Linked DNA regions of Drosophila melanogaster. The protein of the gene in region 1 interacts with the protein of each later gene in a pairwise test. Each region holds a gene or a part of one and is shown on either strand. Other genes may lie near its edges.

Region 1 (7,404 bases):
CTCTGGGTCTCAAGGTTGTTGAGCTAACGGGCGACGTTACTCCCGACATTCAGGCCATCCGAGAGTCTCAACTAATCGTTACCACGCCGGAGAAGTGGGACGGCATCAGTCGGTCTTGGCAGACCCGCGAATACGTACAGCACGTGTCGCTAATCGTCATCGATGAGATCCACCTGCTGGGAGAGGATCGAGGACCGGTCATCGAGGTGATTGTATCGCGAACCAATTTTATCAGTTCCCATACCGGTCGGGCTATCCGAATCGTGGGATTGTCCACGGCACTGGCTAACGCTCAGGATCTGGCCAACTGGCTGGGAATCAATAAGATGGGACTGTACAACTTCAAGCCCTCGGTGCGTCCAGTGCCTCTCCAGGTGCACATCAATGGCTTCCCTGGAAAGCACTACTGTCCTCGCATGGCAACAATGAACCGGCCCACGTTTCAGGCTATTCGCACCTACTCCCCCTGTGAGCCCACCATCGTCTTTGTGTCCTCGCGTCGGCAGACGCGTCTCACGGCGCTGGACCTGATTACCTTTGTGGCCGGCGAATCCAATCCCAAGCAGTTCCTGCACATACCCGAAGACGAAATCGAGCTGATCTTGCAGAATATTCGTGAACAGAACCTTAAATTCTGCTTAGCTTTCGGAATTGGTCTACATCACGCCGGTTTGCAGGAACAGGATCGAAAGTGTGTTGAGGAGCTGTTCCTCAATAGGAAGATCCAGATCCTGGTGGCCACAGCCACACTGGCGTGGGGCGTTAATTTGCCAGCTCATCTGGTGGTGATCAAAGGTACCGAATACTTTGACGGGAAGGTGAAGAAGTACGTGGACATGCCCATTACCGACGTGCTTCAAATGATGGGACGAGCCGGACGGCCGCAGTTCGACAATGAAGGTGTGGCCGTCGTTCTGGTGCACGACGAAAAGAAGAATTTCTACAAAAAGTTTCTGTACGATCCATTCCCGGTAGAGTCCAGTCTGCTGGGAGTGCTACCGGAGCACATAAACGCTGAAATCGTTGCTGGAACTGTTCAGTCAAAGCAGGCCGCTCTGGATTATCTTACGTGGACGTACTTCTTCAGGAGATTGCTCCGAAACCCGTCGTATTACCAACTGCAGGACATAGAACCGGAGAATGTAAATAACTTTATGTCCAATCTGGTTGAGCGCGTGGTCTATGAGCTTTCTGCCGCTGCCTGTCTGGTGGAGCGCGATGGATGTCTGATACCAACATTCTTGGGGCGAATCAGTTCCTATTACTACCTGTCGTACCGCACAATGAAGCATTTCCTGGAGGATTTGCAGCCTGGCATGAACACCAAGAAAGTTCTCCTCGCCATAGCCGATTCCTATGAATTTGATCAGCTGCCTGTTCGGCACAACGAGGATAAGCACAATGAGGAAATGGCTGAAGTAAGCCGCTTTAGACCGCCCTCATCGTCTTGGGATTCTTCGTACACCAAGACTTTCCTGCTACTCCAGGCCCACTTTGCACGGCAGTCCCTTCCGAATTCGGATTACCTAACAGACACAAAGTCGGCTCTGGACAACGCCACTCGAGTGATGCAAGCCATGGTGGACTACACAGCGGAGCGGGGATGGCTCTCGACGACTCTGGTTGTGCAGCAACTGATGCAGAGCGTCATTCAGGCCCGATGGTTCGACGGTAGTGAGTTCCTAACGTTGCCAGGAGTGAACGAGGACAATCTCGATGCCTTTTTGAACATACCACACGATGACTATGACTACTTAACACTACCCGTGCTGAAGGAGCTGTGCAAACAAGAGTACGAAGTACTGGCGAAGCCACTGCGAGATGCCTTCGAGGAGCACGAGATCGAAAAGATGTATAAGGTACGATTCGAATTAACCAAATTGCTGAACGATATTCAAATGGTACTTTAAACATTTCCAGGTAATCCAAGACTTGCCCGAGATAGCAATTCAAATATTCGTAGAGGGTCGGCATATGGAGAATGAGTATGCCAAGCGACCGCTCTCACTTTCTGATGACACGAGGGGCGAATGGATGTCCCTGCATGCCAATGAGGACTACGTTCTCATAGTAAACTTGCAGCGGCTTAATGTCAGTGGACAGCGAAGAGGTGGTGGACAAAGCTACACGGTGCACTGCCCCAAGTATCCAAAGCCCAAGAATGAAGCGTGGTTCCTGACCCTGGGCTCCCAGGCCAACGACGAGCTCCTCGCCATGAAGCGTGTATCCATTCGCGGACAGCGCTGCACCAACCGCATTTCGTTCCAGGCAACTCCGCGACTTGGACGTCTACAGCTTACGCTTTATTTAATGTCCGACTGCCTTATGGGCTTTGACCAGCAGTACGACCTGCAATTCGAGATCATTGATGCAAAAGAAGTCTAAGGGCCCTACTAGAGATTAAATCTAAAGTGTACCGTAGCATTCTGTAGAGTTGAGGCTTAACTTTTAGTTAATGGAGTTCATATCGCCTATGAACGTTTTCCACAATCACTGTTATCACCTAGAGTTCGTAGTAAAACTGAACTTGCGTATTTATTGTGTGATCCTCCAAGACATGTATAACATTTTTATCATTAGTAACTTGCTTCGAGACGAAGCTCCTTTGTTAGCCAACCATGTAGCACCTACATGCATGAATCACTTTCTATGAATTTATGAAGTAACTATTTTTATTGTGTAAAGTTAATAAAATTTGTATTGAAAGCGCAGCTATGTTTTTCAATTTAATTTTTTTATGTGATCAATATAAATACCACTTAGCCATCCATAACTATCGACATGTTAACTACATTTATTCTACGTGGCACAGTGGCGGCACCTAACGTTCACTTGTATAATGAAGAAAATAGTTCATGGTGCGTGTCAAAAAGGAAACGTACCAAGAGACAGCATTAAATAAAACTTTTATTAGTATTAATTGATTTATATAATTCTAAGTTGGGTGATGACAAAGTAAGCTAAGAAAGTTAAGAATGATAAAATAAAAAAATAAAACAGGTTAAACAGCTTTAAGCCTATATGCATAGTAATAATTAGTTGTTAAGACCGAAATAGGCTTTTTAAATAGTCCCAATATTCCAGTCAGAAACGTTTTTCGCTGTGAAAATATGTAAACGACCCACCTCATCCGAATGTATTTCTACGTGCGCCGTCTTTTAATGGCGGGTTTTATCCGAGTCCTGACCATTTCTGGACGCTTCTGCACTCCTGCCCTTCTGCCCCACACATGGCGCTGAGAAATGAAAGCATATTCAAGTGATTAATGCAGATGGCCACCACATCGGGCAAATGCGGATCCGCTGGTCCCCGGGGAGTCGCCGACTAGGATAAGGAGCTGGCCTCCTCCCACAGCAGTCGAGTAATTAAACTTGATTAATTGTCTAGTCAGCATGAAGGTAAAAATCGGCGTAGCCAAGATAAACGAAACGGAAATGGAAATTAATTAATATGAGGCTAAGTAAAACAAAAAGAAATAATGAACAAGTTTACTTTGGCAATAAACAAAGGAACATTCAATGATCCAATCGATGGGCCTCGAGTGCCATGTCGGTTCCCCAAATCGCACAATACTCGTATCCAATTTAATTTTCACCTGCACACTTTTTACATTCCTCTGTGCAGTGCTCCACCTTCGAATCGCAATGTCGAAATTCCATAATCAGCAAACAAATAAATAAACAGCTGGAAAACTTTTCAAAAACTTTTGCACCTTGTGCACATAAAGGGTTTCATTTTGTCTTGGCACGCAAACTTCTCAGCCAAATCAGCGATTTCGCAAGGCGGAATTTATTTAATTTGCATACGTATTTATGTGTTAAATAGTTCTTTAATGCAGATGAAGTTTTATTGTATTTATTCAAATAGAATTTAAGTTAAGTTCAATTCAAGGCAGCCAACTCTTGACACCACGTAAGTTGACAAAAGTATAAATGTATTAGTGTTGGTAAATAACCAAGTAATTGTTGACCAAAGCTATCCTGTTTGTCATGGAAGTCATTGTCAAACACATTCTGAAAAAAAACTTTTAACATTTGGAAGGGCAGCTTTGCAGTATTTTTAGAATTTTCAGTCAATTTGGGATATTATAATCATTCTAAAATTTTCTACGCCAAGTGTTTCATTTGGATCCCATTCCGAAGAAAGCATAAGATCTCTGCGGTCATCTTTCACCTTTGCTTCTATCTATAGCGCAGAGAAAATGACCAAGAAGGAGTCATCCGTCCCGACGCTATGTTGGGGATACGCCGGGATACGCGGCATGTTCCAAACTGGAAGACCAGTGGATCCGCCCCCTCCTCTCCCTAATTTGCGGATGAAGACGAACCTGATCCTCAACTACCTTCCGCAGGACATGACGGAGTCTGAGCTGCACCGTCTCTTCTCCAAGTTCGGTGAGATCCGCAAGGCCAAGATCATCCGCCACCGCAGGACTGGCATAAGCTGTTGCTACGGATTCGTCGACTACGTGTCGGAACGCCAGGCGGCTGCTGCCGTGAATGGCATGGATGGCTACGAGACTCGCGGCAAGCGACTGAAAGTGGCCTTCGCCCGACCTTCGGAATATGAAAGCACCAGCTCCAGCCTGTACGTGGGGAACCTGCCCACGTACATGGATGAGAAGAAGGTACGAGAACTCTTCGCCACCTACGGCAACATCGTGGATGTGAACTTGCTGCGCCACAAGTTCAACAATAGGTCCCGTGGCGTGGCCTTCTTGCAATTTGAGTTGGTCCGCGACGCCGAGGTGGCCAAGTACGGCATGGATCGGTACATGATCGAAGGCGCCTCCCGGCCCCTGACGGTCAAGTTCGTGGAGCGCGAGAAAAAAGGCTCGAGTTCTACCTCCAGTGGCTCCCAGTATAAGGACAAGCGTAAATCTTCCCCACCACCCTACAAGCGTCGCGAGAGGACGAACGATCATCATGTGTCTAAGCGTTCTCGAGATTCGGACTAATCATTATGCGTATTTTTGATAGAACTTGCTGATTAATTTGATTAATATATATATAGAACCTGTAAGGAACACCTTTTTTTAAACCTCAGCTGAAGAACAAATTGTGATTTTGCACTTTTGTCGTATACTCAATTTCCTTTAGGTAGTCCGGTCCAATTAATTTTGGTCTTAACGCATTCGTTCGGTTATGCATTTGGCTGCCCTCTGATTTTGGCCTTACATAAATAATTCATTAAATTGCCGCAGGAGCTGGGCTTATCGTTCGCAAACAAGCCACTCCTACGGACATGAGATCCTCGGCTCCTAAAAAGCATTAACAGCTTTATCAGTCGCCTGGTAACCTCGATTTAGCCAGGGGCCACCAGTTGGCCAAAAAAGGTGCGGAGCGTCCGATTCGGTTTCGGTTTCGGGTTTTGATTTCGATTGCGGGATGCATGCAAAGGATTGGCGGTTCAAATAAATAATGAAAACAAAGGGCGCATAAATATTTGAAGATCGCAAACCGAATGAACCGAAACGACTTACGAAAGTAGGTGGGAAACAAGTGAATTGAAAATTATTTCCAATTCGTTTGCTTTTCTCATTATAATTGAGGCGCAAAGTTGCCCCTGCATCTCGGAATCGGTATCTCCTCCTCCGGTTACCCAGCTGGTATCCCCTTCGACTGCTGCTCTTGTTTCAGTCTCTGGTTCCAGTTCAGATTTAACTTACAGATTTTGCTTTACAAGGACCCTTCATGCACGACTGTGGTATGCACTTTTGACGGTCACAGTTTAAATGAAGTTACATAAACTCTGGGTTGGATTCGGCAATAAAATATGGAGGATTTTGCCAATAACTACATTTTTATATAGGGTTGTATGGGTTGTGTTGCTCTTTTGAATTAATGTGCCTCCTGGACTTCCTATTTTGCATAAAAGCACGCTTAATACATAAAATTTTAAAGAAAATCAGTTGTTTAAAGCTTAGAGAAAATCGTTCGCTTTGTAAAAACTAGAATTTTATGAAAAATGTGTGTATATACCCAAACAACAAAGCATAATGAAACCTAAAAATGAGAACAATTGAGTTCCAGTCTCATCTTGTGTTGGAAATGCAAATCAAATTTTCACATCCCTTTTGTTTACAGTTTTCATTTCATTTTTCTTGGAACAGTTGAGTTCTTCCCTAGTTGCGTTAGGAAAAAAAAGGAGGAGACCTCCAAGAAAAAGGGCTGCAGCCTCTTGATAAGCAGATTATACGCTTTTCATCATTTTCATTCCTTTTTTTTACTTGGCGTTCTGGCTGCGAGTGTTTCGGGGATTTCCTTTTTCCATCTTGCCTCGTGTTGTATTGTCTTATTGACATTTGTGGCATATTGTTTTCAACAGAAGTTTTTATAAAATGTTTTATGTTTAAATTATTTCCAATCCTAAGAAAAGCCTTCAATTCGCAGACTTTCGGTGCAATTTTTGCCAGTCTTAAAGTATTTTACTCCACAATTTTCCCGCAGTGATTCCGACTCATTTGTCTTTCTTTGTCCGCGAGCATTAGGAAAACAGACTGGCCACAAATGGGCAGGGGAAGGAAAAGCGGAGGAGGCTAAAAAGCTTGTCAACCAAGACGCCCACAAGCGTCACGTCAGGATAATTAAGAAATTTTTCAGTTCCCGTCTCTGGACCTCACTTTTGTGGCCCTCATTGGGTCCTTCGGTGGTGCGACTTTCGCTATCGAAATAAATGGAAATTGATTGAATTCCATTAGGCCAGGAAGGGAACGGCTGCCTTTCAAATTAGGCAAAAACTAATGAGCTATGCACATGACCATCGACAGCAGGCATTAAAAGTTGTCCAGCTTCCGAATATCATTTCCAGTGGGGGGAAGGACTTACTCCTCCCCAAGGAACACATTGAGTCATCAGCGTAATTCCAAGGGAGTTTCTTGGGCCTGGGGTTTGACGTTGACCGTTGCAGGTCCCCGGTAATGGATAGCCATTACAGGGTTCACTCGCCTGCAATGTGTAATCTATTGAGTTCTAGTAAATGAAGCTGGAATATTGGATGCTTGTAGAGCAGCTGGCCAATGGATAAGGTGCTCCATTATCCTTACATACTTGGCGATCGTGGCACCTGAGTACATTATGACCTTGGTCACCCGAAATGATAAAGTAGCTGCGTGGACCTCTGAAGGGTCATATAATTTGCCGGAATCCGTGACGGGATTGTCAGTCAGGCAGTCCGTCACACCGACAGTGGAATCAGTGCAACGCATGCGTGCCCCATTCATCATCGTCAGCGGCACACACTCGACTCGACTCTAACTCAACATATTGTTGCAACATATTTTACGTGAGGGGTTACCGTAGTAGCTCCAACCCCCCCATCAAATACCCCACCTCAACGCTGAAAACGCTCCTGCTTGCGTGGGGATTTTTTCAATTTTTAGCGAAAATTACATCATCACTTATG
Region 2 (8,131 bases), 5.9 Mb from region 1:
CTAAGCCGGACCCGCGCTCCAGAACAGAAAGCAAACAACCAACAAGCCAACATGCTCAATAACAAAACATTTATGGTTTCTCTAGTAGGCCAAATACTTACTTAGGCAAGGATAATAAAATTTATATATATAAATGTGAGTATATATTGATATGTATATATACGTGTTGGTGTGTTTATGTGTGGATATACGTAAATATTTATTGGAATCGTAATAAATAAAACAGCAACAATTTTTCAGTTTGTTTAAAGAGTGTAGCTTTAATAGGTTTTCAATTATATGGAACTGAGATGAGATACGTGCGTGGTTAGTTTTTCAACTATAGGTATAAGTACGATATAAATGTATATAAATTCATGTATAGGGGGTATGTGGAAAAGCTGCCGATACAAATACAGATACGATATATATAGATATAGATATAAAGTTAACAGTTACGGGTACATAGGTAGTACATATGTATGTATGTGTATATGTGAACTAACTCCGCCGACTCCGTCTGCCATGATATGTGGTAACGATAAATTTTACACTTTCAGCGTTTCCATTTTAAGTTGTTAAACACAATAACCCATCGTTAAGCCGCCCCTCCCACATATACATAACAGGTCCATTAAAAAGTCCCCGACCTACCACAGTAAACATTTTTTTTTCTGCCAAATTTAAGTTTTTCATTCAACAAAGTTCGCTTCAATTTTTCAATACCATTTATGTAGTAGGATTTCTCCTTTGCTTTCAAATAGGCGTCACTTTTCGCGATCACTTCTTCATTCGACGTTAATTTCTTCCCAGCGAGCATTCCTTTGAGACCTGAGGATTTGGATATGGACCGAAAGCTAACAAATTCTGTGTGAGGACGAGGACTTATCAATTGACCTAATACATATTTATGTGTTTTACATGAATGTGTCAACATAACAAAAACAATATTAGTGGCCCTGTTTTTTTTTTTGTGTGTAGCGCTTTGGGTTTCGGTTTCTATTCTGCTTTCGGCTTCGGGTTTGGTGGATATGTATGGATCGAGGTCGAGGGGCGGATGACTGATTACAAACTTATCACTTATCGCCCGGCGGGCAGTTAGTACAATCGAAAGATTCCAGATCAACAGAGCGACAGTTAAAGAGGGTTACACTTAACGTACATGGGCCATGTGTTGTGGGTGTGTGTGTGTGTGTGCTCTATAGGTAGGTAATATAGTAAATACTAGGCGTAAAATAGAAAACGAACATGTGCAAAGTAAAACAAACAGTGTGACAAAGTCGTGTTGTCGTATATAGTATATAGCTTAAATTGATGGGTTAGAGATCGACCGTATTTGGGAACCATTAGGAGAACAGAGGACAATTACAAATAATTATTCAGTCTTTGATTGTTTGTATAATTAACAGGTTTACAAAAAAAAAAAAAAAAATAATTAAAGCTTACAAACTAAAGCTGTTTGGTTTGCCAGTTGCGGTAGACCGTTGATAGGTTGGTTGGTTGATTGGCTCAGGATGGCTGATAGGTTGGTTGGTATTGTAGGCAGTTCGAGGATTAAACGTTTAAGACTTGCGCTGAGATTCAGGTGTGCAGTTTGCATTTTGCAGATTACATTTGCATTTGCGCTTGCAGTAGTTGGTCAGTGAGTTTGAGATACAGATACGAATATGGCCAGATACAAAAGTGTCAACGGCACGGCACGGCAACGCAAGGGGCAGATGGCAGTCTTATGTGGTACATACGGGGATGTATTTAGTATACACTTTCGGTTTAGTTGCTTTCGGTATCAGTATCGCTATATATTGGTTTTTACGTGTTGCTATATACGAGAGTCAATAGGGGAAACACTTGATGATCGGTATTCGTTTGAGAGACGTGTGTGTTAAAGAAGCGGGGCACGTCTGGCCGCGGCCGTTAACAATGCAAATTTACCACCAAAACCAGCAATAAAATATTGTATGTATGCTAAAACAAAGAAAATAAAAGTAAAAGAAAACATTGCTATTACATTCAGTTGAGAAACTAATTACTTGGGTTGGTTTAGTTTGGTTAGCAATAAATGTATGTATATGTGGAATAATATTAAAATATAGATCTATATATATAAAGCCTGGTTTTAATTGCGGCCAATGAGTATTAATGCCAATGTAATGCAAATTAGACGTAAAATATAGGCAGGCAGTACAATATACAAATGCTTGTTTATCATAACGATAATGGTTGTAATTGTGGTTCAATATACAGTTGCAGTTAAACTAATAGTGCTGTAAACTATTTTTGGTTTGTAGTCTCTGAGAAATGGTTACTTGAATATGTTGAAGTGGAGTAAAGTTTCTTCTAAGAAGAAGGTTAGTGTTGCTTAAAACAGACATTTAAGTAGAAATATTATATATATTATATAATATTATATATATTATATAATGGAATTCTATAATTTGTACCCCAAAGATATTCTCCGCAATTATATAGTGATATATTCTTAGCATAAGAAGTTCTTTTTCTTTTCATAACATAAATTTCGATGCTTTTAAAATGGAAGCACTAAGATTTTGGAAGCACCCTCTTCGTATAACGACTGTGTCACGGCATAAAACCCCTCTTTGATCAGGGTATTTGTGGTAAATATTATTATAAAGATAAGATAAGTGCATTTCTAAACATAGATTATAAGACTTAATGCAGCGATAACATATACTTATGTATGTATGTATGTATATAAAGAGCGACCTCTTCGGTGCTCTCCTTCAACATTGTAAATAGACTACATTTCCGTAATTTAACTATTATTTTGACCACAAATGTGTGTGCGCGTTCTTCTATGCATACTTGGGCAGGGTCGGTGTTCGAGTTGGGGTCACACTACGCCCTCTCAAAATTAAAACAATAAATTATAAAAAATATACGCATATACACACAAGGAAGCAGGCATCAAAATATTCGCTTTTTCCATGGAGTCCGGACCCCAACACACATACACACTCACACCGATGCACAAAGAAACCGAGAGAGGGAGAGCAGAGAGCGGCACTGAGAGCACGTGAGAGGACCCACCTACTGTGCATACATGTGTCTGTTGGCAGCTCCTATTGTTGTTGCTATTGCGTAGTCATGACAGTCAACTTCATCGAATGCTCTTTTTCGCTTTTCTTAGTTTCGTTTTCTTTACACACATTGATTATATGAATATATGGATATGTATACCAACGAAACTCTTGTTGGCTAGCTGGTTTTTGGCAATTACGCTGCGCTGTGGCGTTTCAAAACACGATGATGGGGCTAAAAAAATGTGCCTTTGAGGTATAGACACTGGTTAATTTGCATTGACTGCTGCCACAACATAACTGCACTTTGCACTCACACACACACTAAGATATGTTTTTCAACGCAAAGCATTCGGGGCGGGGTTTTAATATTGCTATTGAGCTACAGGCAGAGTAATCCGAAATATTAAGAATAATAATACTACACACCAGACGCGGAGCTCCCGACTCGACGGCAGACAAAGACGCAGTGTGGTAAAATGTGCCCAGACCAGACGGGGCGCTCCTCTCTCTCACACTCTCTTTCTCTCTCTCGTTTCCGCTGCGAGTGTAGATATATGGATGGAAAATCGAAACTCTGTGGCTGTGGCCAGCCCCCGCGGCCCCCTTTTGCTATCTCGCTTGCTCGCATGGACAAAATCAACACAAGTTCACACACATACAGGCACACGGATGTGAACTCACAATGACAACCACTTCGTCACCAGCAGATAAAAAAGTGCTGGCCTTAAATCAATTGCGTTTTATGTAATTCCACTACATTCGTACGTTACGAAAACAAGCACTATTCATATTACACGGTATACATTATTACTTCCTATCGAGTCCAAATTGCTAGGCAGGAAAGGTCTTAAATTTTTACGCTTTATGGGAGTTTACCTTGGGTTCGACCTGACAAAGAGTGTGGCCGCGGCGAGACTGTGAGAAATTACCAAGTGGTGTCTGTTATCTTAATCCCAAATACTCTAGAAACATTTGTATACTAGAATTTGAGATTTAAGCATATTATAAAAGAAATTTATTTATATTTAACTAAAAATGCTTCTTAATATTCGCAAAACAGTTTTTTAATAGCAAAGTAAAGGAACTGGATTTTATTTTAATAAGTGTGTATTCTATTTTTTTGTCATATTTACACGTTCACAAACACGGCCACACTAATCTCCACTGAAAACGCTACTCGCATTTAACTCTAGTTGAGAAAAACAAGATTTATTAATAAAAACATTTTAGCTTGCACCTAAAAGAGTGTGCGGTACTATAAAACTAATCGTTTAACAAATCGGCAATACGAAAATGTAAGTATCTGCACCACATTTTGCTCCCTAAATGGTCTAAAACAGCTCGCTTTTCTCGACAAATAAAAAAAAACAGGGCGCGTGCCCAGAGTCTCGCCGGCGAGGGTGAGAAGGAAAAGGACAACAAGGAGAAGGTCGCCAAAGAGAAGGACGGCAAGGCGACCAGCGGCTCCTCGCGCAGGGACCGCGAACGCAAACGCCGCGGATCGGCGTCCTCCAGCAGCGACTCCAGAAGCAGGTAAATCAGCCGGCAAAGGTCTTTCCCACAAATGGCTGCCATCTGCCAACCGGAATAAGGGTTACTTTTAAAAGGAAGTCCTTCTTCTTCTGTAAAACGTAGCAGATAGTACGGGAAGAAAATAGCCTTCGAGCGAAAAGATTTTGTAAAAATTCACATACCATATATGGTAAAATTTCATCACAGTTAGGAAGTGTTTTACTTTGTACCAGCTTCATTGCCGTTTTCTTGGTTACGAGAAGTAAATAAAACACTTCACTTTTTCCAGCACATCGGACAGCAGCTCTTCGCGGAGCAGTTCCGGGTCATCGCGTTCCAGCTCAAGCAGCTCCAGCGACTCCTCGAGCTCCTCATCATCGTCGTCCAGCGATTCGGATCGCAGCGAGAAGAACCGAAGACGTGGCGGCGGCGCTGCTGGCAAAGACAAAGACAAGGATAAGCCCAGCGCCCGATCACGTTCCCGCTCTCGCACCCGTTCCCCCAGGCGTGTCTCCAAATCTCCAAGACCGGGCAGCAAGGCGCGAAAAGAGCCGGAGCGAGATCGCGATCGTCGTAGTCGGTCGAGGGATCGTGCCCGCCGTGCTGGATCCAACGATAGGGCAGCCGCCGATAGCAATAATGTTAAGCGGGAGCGTTCTCGCTCAGCCAGTCGTTCACGATCGCCACGCCGTCGTGGTCGCGGCTCCGTTGAGAGGACGCCGCCACCGAAGCGAAGGGAGCGCTCCCGTTCGCGGACTCGCTCGCCTTCGCCCAAACAGGTGCGCATTCATGTCGGTCGGCTTACCCGCAACGTTACCAAGGACCATGTGTTCGAGATATTTAGCAGCTTTGGGGATGTGAAGAATGTGGAGTTTCCCGTAGATCGTTTTCATCCTAACTTCGGACGCGGCGTGGCGTTTGTGGAATATGCCACACCCGAGGATTGTGAGTCGGCCATGAAGCATATGGATGGCGGGCAGATAGATGGCCAGGAGATTACGGTATCCCCGGTTGTCTTAGTAAAACAGAGGCCGCCCATGCGTCGTCCTTCGCCACCGATGCGCCGTCCGCAAAACAACCGCTGGCGATCCCCACCCCAGTTCAATAGGTTCAACAATCGTGGAGGAGGTGGTGGCGGCGGCGGCGGACGTCGTCAGTCACCCATGAGGAACCGGCGTTCACCACGGCGTCGCTCCCGCTCCCCCATTCGTCGTCGACGCCGCAGCAATAGCAGTGACAGCTCTCGTTAGAGGACACTGATCGACTCCTAGTTTCTACAATTGACACGATTATTGCACTTTTCTTTATATTATAATCCAAATAATAAAGGTGAGCAAATACCACACACATAGAGAGTTAGCTTAGTGTATAAACGAGCACTCAGCATCATCGAGAGGACATCCCAGCGGATGATGAAGCTTGAAAAAGCAGCTACGTTTCTTGATGGTCAAATGGGATTTGGGGAGAGTAGCCGTTGGTTTAGGGGTTCTTATTCCTATGAGATCACCACCGCAGAATTCGAAAACTTCGTGTTTATTGCGCAGCAATGTTTTGATGCCGCCGCACTCGGATTTAATGCCACTCAGCTCCTCCTTGGTGAGAGCCTGGGCAATCTCTCTCATGGGCAGACGACCAGACCATTTATCTTCGTTAGAGTCCAGAATCAGTTTGAAGATCTTAAACACTAGACCATCAATTATGGTCTTATCCACCTGCGTGCAATTTCGAACGCTCTCCTCCTTCTCGCGCAGCTTAATTTTGGCATCTCCGGTCTTATACTTTCTTAGCTCTTCTTGGACAAAGTACTCCAGATCTTCAATAGCCTTTGAGGCTTTTCTCTTAATTCCCAGCAGAGCCAATCGCTTGGTGCTTGGTATTTTTAGACGGTCTTGTAGGATCTCATAGCCACATTCATGAGAGACCTGAGTGACGTATTGAAAGAAATCCTGGTAGGCACTTATCTTCGTATTCCGCCTGCGAAACTTGGCTCCCGACAGTTCAAAGGGACAGCAGGGCAGTAGGAAATAGTTAATGTTCAAACGACCAGCCAAAACCGGTAGCCAAGGAGACAACTCGTCCGAATGGTTACCAATCAACCAATCCACACCCGGAAAATCCAAGCGGAAGCTGTTGGGCTCCACGGCCTTTTCAATGAGGCTCCTTTGGGTATCCGGTGGATAGAGGGACCATAGCTTTCGCTTTCTTATATCGTAGCCATACCCTTTGTAGCCCTCGGCGTTGAGGACATGAACTAACAGACCGTTTCCACAACCCAAATCAGCGAAGGCAGTGGGCTCCGATTGTGTTTGACTCCACAAAACTATAAGATAAGCAGCGATAGCCAAATCCTCGTAAATGAACTTGAGCGGATCCGTGGACTCCTGTGCGGTCTTCCAGTGTTCCAGCAGGCGTTGTGAATGCCTCTGTTTCAACTCCTTGTACAGATCATTGTACTTTTCCACATTAACCAAACCTAGTGACTTCACCTTTGCTTCATCCTGCTTGGACTGAGACCAGCTTAAGAGCTTTGGTCTGAGCACAAATTCCAACCAGTTGGTGTTCGATTTGGACTTCAGTTTAAACTCTCCTCCAAGGAGGCCCACGGAAAAGCCTTCAATGCTATCGCTGGCAAATTGGCACTCATAGAGACAATTCTCAAAATCTGTAATTAGGAATATAATAAGAATTGTCTAAGAAGTAAGTAATATTGTGATTATCCTCACCCACAATTCCGGTGCCTAGGATGTTTTCCGCCAGTTTCTTGGACAGCAGTTTGAATCCGATCGTAAATCCTGTGCACGTGCGCTGGCTTGGATCCTCTTTTAGAGACATCGCCAACTCCTCCGCACTGGATTCACACACTCGCCCATTCTGCTGCTTTGTCACTTGGGTAATGACTACCTCGAATATCTTTTTATTCAAAGCATGATAGTTTTTGATCAGTATTCCAATCGCTTGCCAGAATTGTGCTTCTTCTACTGCTGCCATGGTGTCGAAAGCGAAAGGTGGCTCAAGGAAAACGAAAATATTAAGTATACGCACGATGGGTAGCTGCGTCTATCGATATTTGTTTGGCGCGTATTTAAAACGAACCCTTGCTAACATATTATCCTGCGTTAGCCATCGTTATTATTAAACGGATATTAATTCTTGGGGTTTATTTTAAGTTATTAATGAGAAAAATGTATCAGATAAAGAAAACTATATTGTAAATACATACAGTAGTATAACCTTCAATATGAAAATGTAGCCTCAACATCGGGATAAATCAATTAAAATGGAAATGAAAATAATAATAATTTAATAAAATCCATTAGAAATTTTTTTTGGAGATCTCGATAGCCAATCACTTAAACATCGATTGATTGAGACTTATCGATATGGTATTGTGTTGCGTAATCAGCTGGGAAACACGCAGCTGAATCTTCAAAATTACCTGTTGCATTTAATAGATTAGACACAAATTATATACCATGTCATTCCTGCGAAAATCGGTGCACCTATTGGGTTCTGTGGCGAGGCGCCAACGACACCTGAAAGTGGTCAGTACTTGGAGTGATCAGAGGGGTATGTTGTTATTTGTTTGGTTTTACCCA

Evidence for each region. The genes of interacting proteins can lie anywhere in the genome.
Region 2: the proteins of maca (region 1) and RnpS1 interact in a two-hybrid assay, tested with the Drosophila melanogaster proteins (one large-scale study listed by BioGRID).

Annotation. Positions count from the first base shown.
Region 1 is NT_033777.3:15,490,601-15,498,004, forward strand, and holds maca (maca), read left to right. Parts: upstream 1-4,001; 5' UTR 4,002-4,201; coding exon 4,202-4,957; 3' UTR 4,958-5,020; downstream 5,021-7,404. Other genes in the region: obe (obelus), read left to right, coding at 1-1,859, 1,921-2,385.
Region 2 is NT_033777.3:9,547,867-9,555,997, forward strand, and holds RnpS1 (RNA-binding protein S1), read left to right. Parts: upstream 1-4,167; 5' UTR 4,168-4,316; coding exon 4,317-4,318; intron 4,319-4,394; coding exon 4,395-4,556; intron 4,557-4,824; coding exon 4,825-5,785; 3' UTR 5,786-5,881; downstream 5,882-8,131. Other genes in the region: CG9386 (uncharacterized protein), read right to left, coding at 5,897-7,197, 7,259-7,523; BckdhA (branched chain keto acid dehydrogenase E1 subunit alpha), read left to right, coding at 8,009-8,077.